Lonchura striata: one gene and its partner. The protein of the gene in region 1 interacts with the protein of each later gene in a pairwise test. Links are inferred from orthologs where the notes say so. Each region holds a gene or a part of one and is shown on either strand. Other genes may lie near its edges.

Region 1 (9,665 bases):
AGGTCAGGAACTCCCTCACTTCTTCCAGCTAAAGGTTACTTCACCTTTATCCATCACACACTCATCAATATAAACATCAGAGGGACAGGAAGAATTAATTTCCCAGTGCATCTCAAAATGATAATTTCTTCTGATCAGAACATTCATTCTGCCTAATACTTCCAAGATGCAGAAACCAGTAATGTTCCCTAACCACAAGAACTCCTTCCTCCTTTCCTCACAAGGAGCAGTTTTGTAATAAACTGTCAAAAACCCCAAAACTATTTGAACACTTGAATTTGTTTGAAACAGAAAGCAATAGAAGCAAAACACTTATATGGAAATTATGCTTTGTGACATTCCAATAATATAGAATAAAAAGTCAGTAATTCTGCTCAGCTTAGCATGTAGTAGGATCCATTTGCTTTCACACTAAGACTTTTGACTTTGCTCGTTTTCCTCTGTTTCAGAGCCAAGAAAGCTCAAATGAGAGAGAAGGGAGGGCTCTGCCTCACATGAGACACCAATGGCAGCAGCAGCTCAGCTGCCAATTTTCAGCTTTTCTACCCTATTAGCATCAAGTTTCTAAACAGCATTTTCCTGACTCAGGACATTTACAGGACAGAAACTGGAATGAGAAATTGTTCTTTCATTACATATTGCAGGTAAAGACTAGTTTTCAAATAATTCTGAAAACTCTAGGCACAACAGTCCAAAAATTCCATAACAGCCAATCAGATCAAACTGTATCTCTGAAGAGAAAAAAAGAAAGGGGAAACAAGAATGAATAGAGCAACAGATGCTCCCTGTGCAGATCATGACTAAAGCTGTAGACACAGGTAGGCCTTTACTGCAAGGCTAAGTGTCACCTCAGCAACAGCACTGGACCACCTATCTTCATTTCACCCTCCAATGGGAAACAAGTCTCTTTTCCCAAAATTTAACTTACTCTGAGCTGACAAGTACTAACTGAAAACAGTCTCCAGGACAACAGTGACACTTCAGCCACAACACAAGTTTTCTGAGGCACACCCAGCACCCCAAAGCTGGCAGTGTGTCTTCACATCACTCGAATTCTGCTGCTACAGAACCTACACAACACAGTCCCGCTGGTGGCACTCTGTGTGTCAGACATACTATCACACAAAAGGAAAAAAAAGGGAAAAAGGATACAAAGGCAATTCAGAGGGAATTCCATTCCACCTTGCAGGTTTCACTTTATCTGTCAGGTACTCCATGTGATTACTATAGTTATATTTATTGCTGGATACCCATGGATATGCATTTAATATAACAATTAACTACTTTATGACAACTACATTGAAATAATGGCAGGGAAATGAGCTACCAAAACGATGCAAGTGAAAATGAAAAGCAGAGCTTTGGTACAACAAAACTGGAAGAATATTCTCAGCTACAAAATTTGACTTCTCTGAGTTTTATCACAGTTTGGGCCTTATTTTAAACAAACTAACTGTCTGAAAGTAAGTGGTTTTAAAATGCTGTTCACGTATGCACCTTTCTCTTGCTCCTTGGCATACTTCCTGCCCTTTCCTCTTCAGGATCTTGGGAATGTGAAGAGGCTGAAGCCTGTACATGCCTGGCTTTGAAGTATCTGACTTCCTGCCTAAGCATATTTACACCCCTGCTACTTGCCAGACTGTACATCACCTGTGCCAGCTTCATCGCCTGTCATAAAATGGGTGGCTGGAATAACCAGCCAGTGCAGCTGTTTGCCTGGAGATGAGCAGAAACATGCCCTTCAGAAACCAAGCTCCAGAAAACAAAGCAATGACACTAAGAGCAGAAGAAATACAGAATAAGGAATCACTACCTCTTCCTACTGCAGTCTTCCTCAGCTGTTACAAATTAGTTTATTGCCTCACCCCAAATTCCTGTTTTCCTCCAAGCTCAGCTGTCTCAAGAAAGACTTTTTGACAAGGCTCACTTTTTGACGTGTTAACTTTGACACTAACCAGAAGGAAACAAGCACTTAACAAGCAATGGTAAGAAAGAGCTCCATGTTAATAAAAACAGCAACAAAACTGAAGCAACTGACAATGGATATGTGAGGACAAGGCTCCATCCTGGGAGATGGAGCTCAGTGTGAACAGAACCCAGACATGCAGGAGGGAGAGCGAGTCACTGCGAGGGACACAAGCACTGCCTCACCTTCCTCTTGTCCAATGAGGGTATGGCTACCCCATTGGAGCGGTTAAGGTCTGACACCAGCACCTTCAGAATGTTCTGAATCTACAGGAAGCGAAAGAAAAGGGGAAAGAGAAATGGCTCAGAGAAGGACAGAGAGAAAACATCAATCCAAGGCAGCCAAGGAACCATCCTCATCCAGCTCGTGGGAACCACACGCCTCAGCCCAGCAGCTCCGGGCACACCCAGGGCACCACTGGACAGCCTCCAATGCCAGCTGCACCTTCCAGAGCAGGCACCTCATACAGCACCTACACCACTCAGCTCTTACCCCAGCACAACCACTTCCAGCTCCGGTCAGACTGTCCAGAAAACTGAAGAAGAGGGAGGTGGCAAATGATTTCGCAGAAAGAGACACTCACATTCTCTGGAGGCTGCTGGTCATCAGTGGTGGGAGTGGCAGGTCTGCTGCCTTCTTTAGTTTTGCGTTTTTTCTTAGTTCCTGCAGTGGCTCCAGGGCTGTTCTTCTGCTGATATTCCTTCAGCTGTGAACAGAAGAAGACAAATCTGAAGTCCAAACAATATATGCCTTCTATAACCTCAAAGACCCCTCAAAACTAACTTCACTGGTAAAAATACAGATCAAGTGTAAGGACAAGGGGAATGCTCTTCCATTAATTTATCGATATGGGATAAAAACGGGAATCAAAATAAGCCCAGAGAAGGCTAAAGTTAAGACCAAAGTGATGGGTTTATGACAAGAGTTGTAAACATTCAACTTTTGTTTACAGCCAATGCTGTTCCTGGGAAATTGTTTCACACTCTACAGTACAACTAAAAGGAGATTGAAAGCACTGGTTTGCGGGATTTCAAGGTTATAAGTAAGAGCAATGAGGCAAAAGTAATAAAGGGCAATTAATCCTACATGCAAAGTGAGAAAGCACTGCCTGATAGTAGTATTTTCCACTCCACGGAAGATTTTATGAAGGACAGTTGCAATCCCCACAGCAGACACTGCAACAACTGCAAGCTAAGGGGAGAAACAATCTACAAATGATTTTTAATCGCATCCACTTCGCCCAGGAAGTGCCGGTCTGATAAGATGTAACTCGAATCCCTCCAGGTCTGCCGGCATTTCTGTGCAATTCCTGCACGCCCGAGCCCCAGAGCCGGCAGCTGTTTATGCAAACAACGGCACCCCCGGCCCGCACACCCCGGGCAGGCACGGCGGGGCAGCGGGGCACGGAGAAGGACGGAGGAGGATCCCATTATTGGTAGGATTTCAAAATGGAAGCCTGAACTGCTCCAGGACACTTTCCCGTTTCCGTGACTTTGACACAGAAGCGCATCCCGCCGGGACGCAGGCAGCCGGGCCGCCCCGAGGGAAAAAATACGGGGAAAAAGGAAGGCGGGGGGGACAACGACACCCGCACAGCAGCCCGGGGAACCCTGGCAGCACCGCAGCCACCCAGGCCCGGCCTCGCCCCGGCCGCCCGCCGAGAAGGCCGGGCCGCAGCCCCGGAGAGCCGCAGCCTCCCGGGCCCGAAGCGAGGGGGCGGCCCGGCCCGGCCCGCGGGGAGGCCGCGCTCGGCTCGGCCCGGCCCGGCCCGCGCGGGGCCCGCGGAGCGCAGCCGCCCCCGCTCCGTCACGTCGTGCCCCGTCCCGCCCGGACCGCCGGCCCCTCACCTTCTTCTTGGCCGCGGCCAACCGGCTCTGCCTGCTGCCGTCCGCCATGTCCGCCCCGCGCCCCGGCCACGTCAGCCCGCCAGCAGCGGCGGCGGCTCCGCCCCCGGCCGGCCCCGCTCCGCCCCGGGACACCCCGGGGTGACACGCGGGGCAGCCCGGCCCCGCCGGGACAGCCCGGCCCCGGGACACCGCGGGACACCGCGGGACACCGCGCTCCCCGTGTGACACCGGGCTCTGCCCCGCTGCTGTAGCGACCCGGCAGCCCAGCGCAAATGCCGGGAGGGGCAGCCCGGCTCCCCTCGCTGTCCCGCCCTTGGTGTCCGAGGCTGATCCCGCGCGCAGGGCAGGCGGCAGGGTCGTTCTGTGTGATCCCAAATCCTTTGACCTTCCAAGCGCGGCAGCAGCTGAGGCTCGGGCAGCTCCGGCTCTGGGACACGGCGCTGACAGGGACACGCTCCCTGCGGCAGGACGGGGCCTCCAGCGCTGTCCGAGCCTCTGTGCGGGACTCGGGGGGAGCTGAGGGGCCCGGTGGGACACAGGGACAAGCGGGGGAGTGGGCAGTGCTCACCTTGCGAAAACAACATCGCAGCGGTGGCTACGGGCAAACACTGGACATGGCACCCAGGGCCGTGTCTGGTTGGCATGATGGTGTTCCATCACATGAGTGATTTTTCGAACTCGAGGTCTTTTCGAACCAGATTGATTCAATGATTCTCGAAATCTCCTGAGCCCCCGTCCCAGCTGAGGCACGGTGCTGAGATGTCTCTGAAGGACCAAATGTCACCACCTCGCCTGCGGCCCTCGGGGGACAATTGTGTCCTGCCACACCCAATGTCACCTGCAGCCCCACCACGGTCGGGCCCGGCAGGGGACTACAACTCCCGGCGTTCTCTGTGGCGAGGGGACTACAACTCCCGGCGTTCTCTGTGGCGAGGGGACTACAACTCCCGGCGTTCTCTGTGGCGGGGGGACTACAACTCCCGGCGTTCTCTGTGGCGAGGGGACTCCCCCTCTCCGGTGTGGCGGGAGCTCCGAGCCTGCAGCGGGAGCCCTCAGCCCTGGCCGAGCGGGTCCCGCCGGCCGCGGGCCGCAGCCCGCCCCGCCGCCCGCCGCCGCGGGCCCTTCCCAGGAGGTAGGAGCCGTTCCCCGCTGCCCCCCCTCCCGGGCCGCGTCCCCGCCGCGGCGGGTGCCGGTACCGGCCCCTGACGCGGCGCCCTCTGCTTTGCCAGGGCCGGCGGCCGGCGGGGCGGCACGGCCGGATTCAGGGCACCGGTGAGTCCTGCGCGGGCTGCCCCGGGGAACGAGTCCCCTCGTTGGCGGGGCTCGGCCCTGCCCGGTGGGGAGGGCTTTCCCTTGAGGGTTCCCCGGGTTAGCGCCAGCACTGCAGTTTGCACTGTGTCGTGCTGGGAGTTTCTCCTAAAAGGCACATTGTGATTTTAATTCTTTTGTTTTAATATTTTTTTAATATATTTTATTTGAATTATTTATTTTCACTTTACAGTGTAGCTCTCGAAAGTGTGGTTAGATGTGGTATGGAGCACACTAGTGTTATGTACACTAATGCACATTTTATTTGAACCCCCCTCCCCGCCCACCCTGGGGATATTTTTTTCCTTTTCTCCTGTTTTATCAAGTGACATGTACGCTATTTTCACATTAGTGCTGCAGCATTGTAACATCTTACCCAGAGCTGAGTTCCTGCTACGTGTCTTCTGTGTTCTACAGATCCCATCTCCAAAGTCCTTCCAGCTTAATGGAGCCAGCGAAGAAGCCCTGCAGTGTGAAATCAAAGAGCTGAAACAGAAAAACCTTGCTCTAGACCAGGAAATTGCACAATTATTGTCAGAGTACGTCCTTGGCAAGCTCAGTGTTTACTTGATGCCTTAATTATTTTTGTTTTTAAAATAGAATGTGATCCAGGAATTGGAGCTGAGAGCTGACCTTCTGTGATGCTGTTGTTGGTATGGTGCAATGTTGGTTACAGTGTTGTAAGTGATGGGACTTGTTAGAGACAAGAGGGAATTCTTTCCACTTTGTGTGGTAAAGCAAAACAAGTTTTACTGGGAGCTTGCATAAGAGGATTTTTGTTTTAGCCTGGGTGTTCCTGAGGTAATTATGTGTTTACTGGGAACAGATAATTTTAGCCACTTGTTATTTGTTGTGTTAGACTTATATTTTCTAAGGTAAATGTGGTGCATAGGATGGAAATGGTAGAACAACAAAGGCTGTTCCAGAACTCTTTTTTATTTATCCTCAAGGGTAAACAAACCTAGCAACAGAACAAGAGGAAATGGCCTCAGGCTATGCCAGGGGAACTCCAGGTTGGACATCAGGAGGAATTTCTTTGCTGAAAGGGTGATTAAACATTGGGCTGGGCTGGCAGGGAGGTGATGGAGTCACAATCCCTGGAGGTATTCAAGAGATGACTGGATATGGCACGAAGTGTTCTGGTTTAGTCAGTATGGTGGTGCTTAGCCAAAGGTTGGACTTGATGCTCTTGAGGGTCTTTTCCATCCTAAATGATTCTACGATTCTTAATTTTTTCCCTATATACAGATTAGAGATACGTATCAAAGGAATTCACCACAGCCTACTCTTGTTTCTACTTGATTCTGAGAACTTGGGTGCATTGGCTTTCTTGAGCTTGTGTAGATCTTCATGTTTAGGACTTGCAGGAACTGCACTCTGTTGTGTTGAGTCTGCTTTTGAGGTTCCAGGCTTGGTGTCCCCCACAGCAGCAGGAAATCCCAGTCCCCCTGTGTCATTTCTGACCTTCCTGGTGTTATTTTACAGGGGCTACAGCCTGGAGGAACTGGACAAGCACATCTCTCTGCTCCATGAATACAATGAAATCAAAGATGCTGGGCAAATGCTCCTGGGCAAGCTAGGTAAGAAAGGGAAAGCTGTTCAAGACCTTTTTAGTCAGTGTTTTCATACAGAAAGAAGCTGCTACTATGGAAGCAAAGCTTGTGTTACAATTCTTCACTTTTAAAAAAGTGTTTGGGTATGCAGGAGGCATAGCTGCAAAACCTTGGGTTTCTTGGCTATAGGATGTGCTATGGGATAATTAGGGAAAGAAAACACCACGTTTCTGACTCCCATGATCTTTGTTTAATGAAAGCAATGCTGTTTTTTTATTTCCTAGCTGTTATCCGAGGGGTCACTACAAAACAGCTCTATCCTGAGTATGACCTGGAACTCAGTGACTAGTCCTGAACCTGGAAGCTGCCATGTCATGCAAAAGTGACTGTCACTGTGCCATTACACATTGGTGTCATCCTGGTTTAGGAGAGACAGAAAGGAACCTTTGGAAAAGGGATGTAGGATTTTAGATAATTTCATGTACTACTTGATCAACAGGTTTTTTTTTTAAGGTTGTAGTTCAGGTTGATGTTGAGCCTCTTCCATGGACCCTTTGATTCCCTACAGTATCCAGGGGCTGTTTGTTTACTGAATGGATAGAGGAAGTGAGGGCATACAAATGTGCAATGTAATAGCTGCTTTGAAAGTAAAACCCTCAGAAGAAAGGAGGGAAGAAGGCAGAAATTGTGGTGGTTTGGGGGTTTCTTTTGTTTTATCAACAAATCCAGAGAAGTCTGGGTGTTCTGCATTTTTGTACTTACCTGCTCTGGTATCTGGAGGTTTTGTATCATTTCTGTAGTAAATGGCAAAATGTAAAGTTGTGTTGACTGTTCACTCTGAATAAAGCAGCCTTCACATTTGTCAGTAAATCACTTTAAGAGCCTATAAAACAGTGCATGAACCTGGGAAAAAATTCTAAAACTATATTGAGACATGAACTATTCAAATGTTTTCTCCAGGAATGTGCAGGTGCAGAATCACTTTGCTCTAACTGCAGAGTCATGGTGGGAGTGAGTGCTGTGCTGGACATTGCATGATGATGTTGGGAGCACGAGTGTTTCAATGTCACTGATAGGGCTGAGGGTGACTGCACAGACTAAATTTGGCTGCTTTGGGCACTTGGAAGTGATGAAGTGCTCTGCTGACTGCAGATCTATTGTCCCTTTTTCACTCAGACTTGATGTCCTTCTGCCCATTTTTACTTACAAAGACCTTCCAGCCAGTAAGTTTCCCCTGTGGTCTCCAGTTAGGCCCATGCTGCAGTCTGCTTGTTCCTTCCAAATTTGAATCAAATTAATCTATCTTCATTGTGATTGGAAGCCTGAAACCAGTCACAAGGCTGCTGCTGAGAACAGATAATTGGTTTTACACTCCTGGCTCTGGATGTGGCACAGATACATCACTAATAGTGTCTTGTTTTGCCTTAAAATCTGTGGGGAGTGGCCTCAAGCAGGGGGACGGAAAGAGCCTGTATATTCCATGATTCATCTAAGTAAGTTTCTGTTGATGTGCAGCTGTGCAGAATATTTCCTGTGCCCAGACCAGAGTGGATACTCAGAGGACACGTTCACACCCCTCCCCAACACATACCCCTCTGCCAAGTGTGGAACACTCATGTGTTTTGGAGTAGTTTTAAGGGGAGGAAAAAAGGCACAAGGTGGCAAGAACTAGGAAATGCAAACTCTGTTACTAAAGTTGCTGTTTTGGCTGGTATTTCCTGTCTGTGTACAAGGACTAGCTCAGCGTTTGGAGTGTTCCAACCAAAATGTTCCTCTGTCAGTGACACAATTGGAAATTGCTTTTGCAATAGGAAGTATGTATGGAAATTGTTCAGTTTTTGTGAGGTGTGAGCTGAGGGGATGAAGTACAGTCCATTACCAAAGTTACTGAAGGTTGTTCAAGGAGTGAGAAGTCGATATTTTCTTCCCCACTAAGTAGGAGCACTGGGTTAAAACTTGCAGCTGGGGCTGTGCAAGTGTCCTGCTTGTGGCTGCAGGGATGGGTTTACGCTTCAGGTAGCACTGGGCAGGTGTCCAGGGAAGGTCCCCTGATCCAAATCCCTTGTCCATGGAGGATGAGAACAGCCCAAGGACAGGGCACAGTGTGCTTGGGGAATCTCTGCTGCTGGCACGCTGGCTCTGCCAGGCGGTGGAGCTGCATTCCACGGCTGTTCTGGCTGCTCTGTGCAGCCTAGAGGAACCCAGAACTCAAAGACTCCAGGCACCAAGTTAAGGACTCCTGGGATGCTTCAGGACAGGACTGCACACTGTCACTGAGATACTTCATCATGGCTCCTGTGACTGCCTCTCCCAGAGTTACTCTTGTACCTTTATGGCTGTCACCTGGAGGATGAAATATGCTGGCCTTTGTCCAAGTCCAGGAGAAGAACAGAATAAATCTGCTTTCCATGAATAAATGTCCAAACTCACTAAGTATATAACTGGAAAACCATTGAATGCAGCAATGGTACATGTCATTCCAGACTTTTAACTTGCATTTAGAAAGTGTGCTCCTGTAAAGTCAGACCCAGCTATAATGAGCTAACAGACTAAATGGTATAACAGTGTTTACAGTCTCCCAGAGGGCAGGACTTGCTGTCTGCAAGGAGCTGCTGCAGAGGAGGATACCAGAGACCACTGAACACTCTTGGCTCCTCAGGAAAAAAAGGGTAAAATAAAGTATGGGTCAGTGTACATGGATGAGTACTGAGCCAAGAACCAACCTCTTCCCTGTGAGGTCATTTTCCATTTTATTTTTTGTGTATCCTGTGCATTAGTCCCCATTATAAGCCACTTTTCATCACATGCCTGCTCTGGATAAAACCATTTCCTTGCATTGCTTTGGGTAAGCTGTGTTTTCTCCTGTACATCCCTCATTTAGCCTGATTTTGAGCTCTCATGTGTCTGAGAGCAGGGCTAATGGAGAGAAAATACTTCAGGAGAACACAGGGAAAATAAAATCCATACAGCAGAAAAGTTATGCTGCCAGTT
Region 2 (9,960 bases), on another chromosome or scaffold:
TTGGTGAACAGCAGACACTACAGATGGAGGTTGGGGCTGTCCGCTCACACTGTCGGGGTGCTGTCGGTACTACGGCCCATCTCCGGTTCAGTCCTGCGTACTTCCCAACAGTCGCCATGCCGACTGCCCACACAGGTGAACTCGTCTGGATGGGATAAGAGAACTAGAACTTGTGGGGGGAAAAACCCCGTGAAACCTTGCTCATAGCCTAACACAAAACAAGTAGTCTCAAACATCTCGCCTAAGTCCGACCTCATTCCAGCTCGGGGTTTTGCTGTTGCCCAGCACACCTAGCGCTGTCTCCCTGCGCGCTGCACCTGGTCCCGGCCCACGCAGCGCTCGGGTTACCGAGCCGGGAACGCAGCACTGCGGGCCGGCCCCGCGGCAGGTAACAACCATCGCGTCGGACACGGTGGCGAAGGAAGCGGCCTCCCACCCCACGGGCCGGGGAGGCAGGCGGGGCAGCCGCGCCCCGGGACCCGCGCCCCCAAGCCCCGGGCCCGAGTCGGGCCGAGGGGCGGCCCTACCTCCTCCCGCAACGCCCGCTCCTGGTCCACCTCCCGCTGCAGCCGTCCCGCCCGCTCCTCGGCGGCGTCCGCCTGCTCCTGCAGGCTGCGAATCTTCCTGCGCACGGCCTCGAGCGAGCTCATCGCCGCCATGCCCGCACCTCGCCCAGCCCGCGCCACCTCCCTCCGCAGCCCCGGAAGTCCCCCCGCGCCACAGCGCTCCGGGGCGGGGCTGTACGCTCCGGCACCGGGCTGCGAGCGGGGCGGGGACGGAGGATGGTCCAGCCGTCCTAGGGATGGGCTGGTCCTGGCCGGGGATCGGTCGGCACCGAACCGGGATGGGCCGGTCGTAGCAGTGAATGGGCCGGCCCTGCCCGGACCGACCGCGGTTGGGCCGGTGGTGACTGGGGATGGGCCGCTCCTGACTGGGGCCGGGCCGGTCCTGTCGGGGCCGGGCCGGTCCTGCCGCAGCGCGGCCGTGCCCGGTGGATGTGTCGGGCAGCAGCGCCGCCTGGCGGCACGGTGCGCGAGGTGCCCCGGACCGGACCGGACCCGACCCGGGGTCAAGGCCCACCTTCCCCCCGCAAACCGCCCCCAGAGGAGCGTCAGAAAACGACATCGAAGAACCCGCCAGATGCTGCCGCACCCGGCCTGGCTCCTGAGACACGGGGAGGGGAGAGGGGGCTGCAGCTGCCCCCTCTCTGGTGGGGTGGCTCCGGGGATGAGTCATATGGGACAGGTAATATTTTCTCGTCCCAGTCAAAGGCGAGTCCATCTCAGCGAGCCGACATCCCTCTCTGCCTCTGACCTTTTCCAAAGGCTCGGAATTATCCAAACTAATAAGGTAAATATTGGGTCAACTGCAATGCCCCAAATATACTCTTCATTGCCAAAAAAAAATCCCTAAACTGTCAAGACATACTCCATACATACAAATAAATAACGTATTTACCTCGAAGAAAACATGCCAGACACTCTCCCACCCTCCACCTCAATTAAATAAAATTACCCTCAACTAGCTTCGAAACACTGTTTTCCAGCAGGGGCAGGAGGCATGGGGATCAGTTAGGAACATCCTTAGTTTCAGAACAGGAATCTAGTAGCATTTCTCCTGCCTTCATCTTAGGCAAGCTATTTCCAAATAGTCTGCATACTTTTCCATATAAGGAATATCTCCCTTGGATCTATATGCGGCTCCTTTGAACAAGCTAAATAAATGTCCTGCTAGGAAGCTGCCTCTCCTATGGCAGCCTGCACAGAGCAGACATCTGATCCACATTATACACGGATCCCTCTCCCTTGTTCCTTTGAACACTTCTGTTTGTTAAGTTCTTGGGTTCTCTTTCAAAACTATATATCTTAGTTGCCATACTGAAGCTAAATCTTTTCTTTCTTTATTCCTTTTAGAAATAAAATAAGATAAAAGCATATTGTCTTCTATGCAAAGTTGTTGTTTGTAACGTTTCCATTTTTGAAAGTATCCTTCCTACCCCTGAAATACTTTGCTTGCTTCACTTGAGGCAACTCCTTTTCATTTTGGCTTTGAGGTTGGCTTTTAGAGCTGAGCTATAGGAAAAGGAGGGTCATTGCTTTGGAAATACTGCAGTTTCATCTAATCCTGTAATTCAGACCTGAGATTTACTCAAGGAGAATTAAATTGTCCAACAGCAGCAATAGAGACCAAGACCTTAACTGCACAGACTATACTCTTATGGTTCCATGCATGCGATCCATTAAATGCATGTCAGGAACAGACAGGTGGGTGGGATGAGGGCCTGGGAGAGGCACAAGCTCTTGCCTTATTACCATATAAAGTGCTGAGCTATATATATCTCTCAACTTGCTCCCAGGATCCCTGTCCTATGAACTGCAAAACTAGCAAGTATCATCTTCCAGACATTTTTCTGTCACACAAGACAACTTTTCTTTGACAAGTGAAGCAGTTCCACTGATTCCAAGGGAGGGGGGAGGCGGGGGGAAGCAGGAGAGAACCTTTTATCTCAGGGGCCAGTGAGCCAAGCCAGTATCTACCAGCAGTTCTAACACATGCATACCTAGCAACAGCTGTCTTGAAAACAGAACTAGCAGTCCTTGCTCTTCTGGATCTCCCTCTCCTGCACCTACTCACTATTAACTCTCTGCTTCTGTTTCACTGTCAAGACAGTGTTGTTCCAGCCTGAGCCGTTTTACCCATCATCTGAATAGATAAATCACCATTTCTTTACTTTCACATCTCGAGTGGCAAGTACACATAAAAAGCACACATCAAGTGAGCAAAAACCAAATCAGACGCCTCTGATAGTGTGCAAACCTCATGCAGGGAGGCAGTGCTGTGTTTCCCACCTCCCTGTCCAGGAGGTGCCTGGACTCTGCCTTCAGCAAAGCTTTGCAGTGCTGCTGAGTAGGAGTCCAGGCTGTCCTGAGCAGAGGGAGTGTGTGGTTTCTCTTTCGGGCTTGTGGCGAAAGGGATGGGGGTAACTTACATCTGTGGCCTTTTTGTCAGCCAGTTCCAACTTTTCCTGTGCATCTTTAAGGGACTCGGAGTATTTGTCCAGCTCATCCTCAGTGGCCTTCAGCTTCTTTTGTAGAGCCACCAGCTCGTCCTCCAGCTGTGATATGGGTGGAAAGTGGTGGAGAGGGGAGGGCGGGCAGGAAAAGGTGCAGCAGGCAGCGTGATCGTGCAAACGGAGAGGTGTGAGTGCAGAAGAGACAGAAAAGGACAGACAGAGAGAGAAAGAAGGAGAGACAGTTAGATCCTCTTTGCTTGCAGCAAGGGCACAATACCTTGGCAGCATTCTCCTCTGCGGAGAGGAGGCTGTCCTCAGACTTGTGTAGCTCTTCCAGCACTTGGTCCCTTGTATCCTCCGTCCCACGCAATTGCTTTTCCAATTGCACAATGTCATCCTCTAACTAGGTGCACAAGAGGAAATATAATGCACAAGTATGTTTCTCCCTTGGCTTAGAAAACTGTGAAACTAATTTATAAATCACTCTTCCTTTCTCCCTCCTCCTTCAGGATCTCCTAGAAACGTGCAATCGATGCACCCCCCTCCCCGAATCGAGAAGTCCCAGGGGGGTTGAAGAAGGACAAAAAGGTGGGGCATGCGTCCGGAGAAGGGTGGGAGGGCAGCTGGAATCGGACACATCTGCTGAGGGATGATGGAGTGGGCAAACACAGCTTTAACTGTCCTTTGCCAAATCGCCGCACATCTGTCCAGTGCTAATCAGGCGTTCTGGGCAGCCTCCCTAAGCCGTCCCCCTGTGACAAAGGCACAGAGGCCACGCAGCCGTCCCGAGGCCCTGCTCCCTAGCTGGAATGGTGGGGAATGGTTCCCGCCGCGCCCCCGGGAACCTCCAGCCGGTGGCTGCCAGGCTGAAGCTCTGCCTTAGGGAAAGTTCAACCAGTTCTGCAGGGGCGCGGGGCTGCAATATAACAAAGTATGGTGACGGGGGAAGAATAGGGGAGGAGGTAAAAAAAAAAAGAGAATAGTCTGGAAAGATTTGCGCCCCGGCGCTCGCTGCGCCCGGGCCCTCGGTGCAGACCTGCTTGCTTCTCTCCTCCGCTGCCTTCTTGTCCGCTTCGGCTTGCTCGGCTCTGTCCAAGGCGTTCTCCTTGTCCAGCTTCAGCATCTGCATCTTCTTCTTGATGGCATCCATGGTGGCGGTGGGCTAGAGCGCGTCCCCGTGCGAACTGCTTCCGAAAGAAAAACTTTAAAAGTTGCGGGACAGCCCCGAGTCCGGACGCAGGCCCCCGGGGGAGCGGAGTGCAGCTGCCGGGCGGCGGGGTTGATCCGTGCGGGACGGGGCACAGCCGAATGCAAGCGGCGGGCAGGGAGCGCCTCACAGATATGTACTTTCCCAGGGGGCTGACTGCATTCCTCAAGACATCCAATACTTTTTTGGAAAGGGCTTCTTTTCTTCCCTCCCTCCCTCCTCCTTTCGTCCCTACCCCTTTCCCTCTCTCACTGCCCCCGGGTTTTTTTTGGGAGGCACAGCCTTCCCATTCGCTGCCGCCTGCCATTTGACCGCAGATATGACTATATATGGGATGCGATGGGCGAGGTAAGGCGGGGGAGCAATTTGTTCCCATTTCTAAATAGGCAGGACGGGACATTTCGCTGCTACTCCCGGGAGGGGAAAAAAAAAAAAAAAAAAAAGGCAGCAAGACGGAGCGAGGGGAGCTGAAGAGACGGGCGCGAAGGCTGCTCGCAGCGGGCAGGGTGTCTGGGTGACACCGGCCCCACGCGGGAGCCGTCCCCACCCGTGGAAATCAATCTGTTCTACAGCAGGAGGGTGGCGGAGCCGATCGCATCAGGCGGCAGGGGAAGGCGGGCCTGCGGGGCACGGGGGTTTGCAGGACGGGCAGTAGGGGGTTAATCGCATGCACGTACGGAATGAATGCGTTCCGAGACCTCCCCCCGGCAGCCGGAGGAGCAGAGGAGGAGGGGGCACCTCTCCTCAACAGCCGGGCCGCAGCAAATGTGCCCATGCAGAGCCGGGCACGAAGCCCGGCCTTTGGGATGAGACCCGGGCAGGGCTGGCCTTCCGCCGGGACCCACACCGAGGGGAAGGGGCCGAGCAGTGCCGGGACAGGGCAGAGGTGCCAGCGGCTGCCCGTGCTTCCGAAGTGCACCGCTCTCCTCTGCAGTACCTGGCCGGGGCTCCTGGCCCTGCAGGGAGATGCGCCTCGGTACTGCGCGCTCAAGGGCGCAAGGAGGAACAGAAAAGGCGGACGGGAGCTACTGCGACCCTCAGCGGGAGCAGTGGGAAACCTGCCCTGCCGGGGGTATCCAGAGCTGCGAGGGAAGGAGCCCAGGAATAGCTGGGGCAGGGAATCTAGCTACAGACGTGACTTGCACCCTTTCGTAATGCCAGTGAGGGACAGCAACAGATAGACAATTAACAAAATTGCATATAATTAAGTGAAGACCTATTTAATTCACTTCTGGCGTGTCTCTCACAGTCTCATCAGCAGAGTGAGCAAGACACGACACGTCCTCAGGACGCACGCTCCCTTGTACAGCGTAGAAAGTACAGGGATGTGCATAAGTCCCACAGGATGTGGGTTGCACAAAGAGAAAATTAGGCAGCCTTTGTCTACACTCAATACTTGTAGCAGAAAATTCCTCCGTGGTGCTGTCACTGGATCAGCTGAACTGATGTGACTTTGCAGGAGGAGGGAATGTCCTACAACTTCTGGCCCATGGTGCTTATCAGGGCAGTTAAGGGCTTGATTTGCCGAGCAGACCTTGGAGGCCAGTTCCTGGAGAGCTTAAACAAAGCTTCAGCTCTACAAGATAGCAAAGCCCCCTGATGAAGACCAACAGTTACAATCCCCAGGTCCTCAGAAAGGCCATAATCTGAATTAACCTAGGAACTATACAAAATTCAGAGGCTCACAACTTGGAATGGGGATTCATGTGTGCTGCTCCTAGGGAGCAGAAGTCCACTGTTAAAATAGCTTTCCTTATGCCTACTTAAAGAAAAGACATTTATCACTGCAGTCCTTTCTCACTCCATTGATTTAATAACCAAGCTAGTACAACAGTAAAAATTATTGAGTAAAACATTGCACTATCACAGAATGTTTTAAAACACAAGAGTATTAAAAAAGTACAGATTTAGTCACAACCAACTCTAAAGTGTAGTTTTTCTCTTTGCACTTACTTTGATTTCACACTACAGTCAGTAAAGATTAGGGCCTTTCTGAAATAAGTATAGTGAATATTTAAAAGATACCTAGTTACATATTGTTCAACAACCTGACGTCTTTGTTAAATGTATCAGTATGTTTTAACCCTAGTTTAGGAGAACATTTTCCTCTGCCTTAAAAAACATAGAGTATCATTGTTGGGAATTCACTGAGGTAGCTCTTCTCACTTTGGGGAAATAAAATATCTTGCGAAATTAAGCAAACAGCTGTCTGGCTAATTTGGGAGGGGTGCACAGGCTCTTAAAAGAATGCCTGTGCAGCTCCTGTTTGAGTTTTCTGAAAGAATATTAGTCACGACATGGGAGCCTCTAGGATACAGAAGAAAGTATGAGATACAGGTAGAAGGAACACAAAGTTTAAAAAAAATACCTGCAGGATGGTATCACCTCCACAGGAAAAAAAAAACCAAAAAACATTGAGGTTCTACTTACATGAAAATGTGCAGTTAATAAGTTTGTTTATAGCAAGATGACCTGTATCCAAGGGGCTGAACTGGCTGATGTTGATTTAATTTTTGTTTTCCTCCTGGAGAGAATATGAAAAGTACAGACATGTGTTAACATGCTTGCTATACCTTTCATTAACAATTTCAATTACTTGGAAACTTCTGTTCCAGCTGGCCAAGAAAGATAGGCTTAGAAATTAAATAGCTTGTATAGTCTCTCCCTCTTTAATTGATATGTGAAGACAGATTGTATGCAAATTATTTTTAATTACTGAAAGAAGAAGGCAGCACAAACTTTGCTTTTATGACATAGTACAAATTCTCTATTACTTGTCACCTCTTTTTTCAGCACAATGGCTTGGCTCATCTCATCAATAAATGGTGCAGGAACTCCCTAGCAATAGTTTCACTTTCTTCTGGGGAATACCTACTGAACTATTTTTGAATTCTGTTAATTTAACTGGGCTCTTCAGAAAATCAAGACAGCAAACTCAAAGCACCAAGAAAGGATACCTGGTTTTAAAATTTACAACTCCTTCTGTGAGCAGGTGATGCCACAATTCAGGCTTACTGACAGTACAATACAGAGTAAGGCTGGGACTTGTTTATATAATGATGTTTCTGTCATGTCACCTATCCCTTGACATGGGCAGAAATTTGCCTTGAGGAGGATCTGCTCTTCGAGCATAGATGGGGTTGGTCATAGGGGGTTGATTCTGGTAACAGACAAAAGGGTAGGTGGACATAATCACTTGGAAAAATTTCAAACAATGCCTTTGGAGTTGCTTTACCTACTTACTCTTCTCCTGGGTCTCTTTTTGCTTTGGGTTGTGGGTTGGGGTTTTTTTGTGTGGGTCTTTTTTTTTTTTTTTTTTTTTTTTTTTTTAGGAATATACAGGAAATGACACCTAACAACTGGTTCTGCCAGTTCTATAAAACATGCCTCCTAAAAAACTAGTAAGGATTCAAGTTAGGTCAGTCAGAGTGAACTCACAGGCCTGTATGTCATTTGAAAAGTGTAGTGTTCCCTCACATGGAGGCAAATATAAATGAAATATAAACCAATTTCTCAAAGGTCTCTGAGACCTCTGCTGCCCTTGTAAAACAGCAATGTTCCTTTTGGATAAAGGGAGCCAACAATATGAGTGTAGGATATTATAAGAAAATAGGAAATTGAAAACATCTGTATTCACCTAGAAAAACAAATAAAATAATACTGATGAAATCAGGTAGGTTTTACTAGTACAGTCAGTGTATTTTATCCTGTAAGGATCTCCAAGAGCTTTGCACTAAAAAAATTGAGGGACAATATTTCTGAAAGAAGCATAAAAAGGGCAAATTTCTCCTGGGGAAATTGGTCATCTATGCTTCAGCCATAAGGGGAGAGAAAGCCCTAAAACAGAAGGTAGGAATCCCAATGGCCAGTGCTCTGCACAGCTCAGTAGGCAGCAAACAAGTACAGAAATACTCCAGAACATGCCAGTCATGCTTAATTCATGCTGTAACTCTGTAAAAGGTTTTCAGTACCATTTCCTAGGTAATGGTGGAGAACAGTTTAGCTTTTGTGATTAAGAACTATGAGATGATTTGTTGGAAAATTAAGATTTAAATTATTTTAATAATTTTCCTCTTCTGAACTAATGTTTCTGTTTGGCTTGTCATTCAAGAAATTAGTGAACTCCTTAAGTAAAAATGTATTTATAGCACAGTCTTCTGCACCTGCCCTGATCTATAATCTGAGGGTCTACTCAGATACCACACCAAATGCTAAGAAGCACATGACCTAACTCATGACCTAAGATCTTAAAATAGCTCTGAGAAGGTCTTTTTTATTTTTTCCCTAAGACTCCTTTCACTCTAATTGCACTACTGTTATTTGCTAGATTTCAGCTGAGCAAACATGTCTCCCAAGTTTTTGTATTATGCTTTCTTTTAAAATCAGATTTGCTTTAGCTGGTAGTTAGGAGTTACTAATGTCATTCTCTGAAAAACATCTACAAAAAACAAGTAACAGAAAGACAAAACCCAAATTTCACTCTTGGTATGATGTTTTTCTACATATTTCTCTTTATAGCTTCAGACCAAGAAAAGATTAATAGATAATTTATAACTGTTTGTCTGTATTCATATATTGTTGGATTTATGTCCCACTCAGTGAAGTCTCAAGTCATTTACTTAAATCTGACTGAAGTAATCTTCTATTTTAAAAGTGTTTTAAAAACAGACTTTAAAAAGAATACCCAGTCCATTTTGATTTAGAGTATAGTATTGTGCCATAGAAAAGAACAGTGAAAAGGCCAAGTAACAGAAAAAGACAATTAACATGCAATGAGGGGAAAAAAAAAAAACTACAATCAACTTTACCCAAGCACCAAACTGAAAAGAACTGTGAATCAACAAATCAAAAAAGAAGCAACTCTTCTGGTGAGAGTCCACTCCTGACCTGACAGTGGTGCAGAAATTGCATTAAAGTTTGTGATCTCCTCTGATTTACACTATCCCAAATGACATCAGACCCAGTTCTACTGAATGCAATTGAGAAAAAGTTGTGGACAACAAGAAGGCCAATACCTTCAAAGGCAGAGTTCCATCCTTGTGAACCAGTTCATTTGCCAGTGCTTTGAGCTATATATAGATAAATACACTATCACTGTAACATCTGCTGCCATATCTACAAGACTACAAGGTGTCCTGAAATTTAGCTTTGCAGTTTTGTTGGGGATTTCTCCTTAGCAGAACAAAGAGCAACTACCATTGCATACCTCTAACAGATTTGTGTTACTGATCTTACTGGTACAGTAACATGTGAGAGTAGAACAGAGCAGGAATGAAAAATAGGAAACAAGAAATCTGACTATATTTCTGATGTCCACCTCTTGATACAATTAGTAGAGAGATGCTGTAGAGAAATATCAGGGCAAACCGCTATCCCCCTTCTCTTGGCTGTAACTGGGAAAAGTTTAAGTGTTTTACGAATGTCCTGAAATCATTTATCAGAGTTCACAGCAGTTCATACAGCTGTAGCAATTCCTGCAGCACAGAAGGAAAAAAGAAAAGCTGCTGCATTAAGTGAATGAACAGAAGCTGTTGGGCTGTACATGTGAGCATTCCTCTCCTGACAGGATTTAGTTTTGTCTTGTGGAGGTTCTCAGCCATCACACATCAAGGCATTTATCTGAATTTGGACAGGATGTAGGAAAATATGTCCACATTCATACAGTCTAAACTAACCTATCTACCTATGACTGATGACTGAGGAATTTACACAGTAGTCTTAAGAGATCTCTACCATAAAG

What was found.
Region 2: the proteins of GOLGA2 (region 1) and uncharacterized protein LOC110483956 interact in binary tests that used the Homo sapiens proteins (3 or more experiments, as listed by UniProt). The two-hybrid records come from large-scale screens. The link is inferred for Lonchura striata from reciprocal best matches to the Homo sapiens genes GOLGA2 and TPM1.

The regions. Positions count from the first base shown.
Region 1 is NC_134624.1:592,284-601,948, forward strand, and holds the start of GOLGA2 (golgin subfamily A member 2), read right to left. Parts: upstream 3,921-9,665; 5' UTR 3,862-3,920; coding exon 3,814-3,861; intron 2,673-3,813; coding exon 2,550-2,672; intron 2,233-2,549; coding exon 2,152-2,232; intron 1-2,151. Other genes in the region: DNA repair protein SWI5 homolog, read left to right, coding at 5,374-5,660, 6,607-6,701, 6,959-7,023. UniProt on the Homo sapiens protein: Peripheral membrane component of the cis-Golgi stack that acts as a membrane skeleton that maintains the structure of the Golgi apparatus, and as a vesicle thether that facilitates vesicle fusion to the Golgi membrane.
Region 2 is NC_134613.1:7,962,750-7,972,709, forward strand, and holds the start of uncharacterized protein LOC110483956, read right to left. Parts: upstream 4,371-9,960; 5' UTR 4,164-4,370; coding exon 4,050-4,163; intron 3,116-4,049; coding exon 2,990-3,115; intron 705-2,989; exon of another isoform or gene 660-704; coding exon of another isoform or gene 528-659; intron 1-527. UniProt on the Homo sapiens protein: Binds to actin filaments in muscle and non-muscle cells. Plays a central role, in association with the troponin complex, in the calcium dependent regulation of vertebrate striated muscle contraction.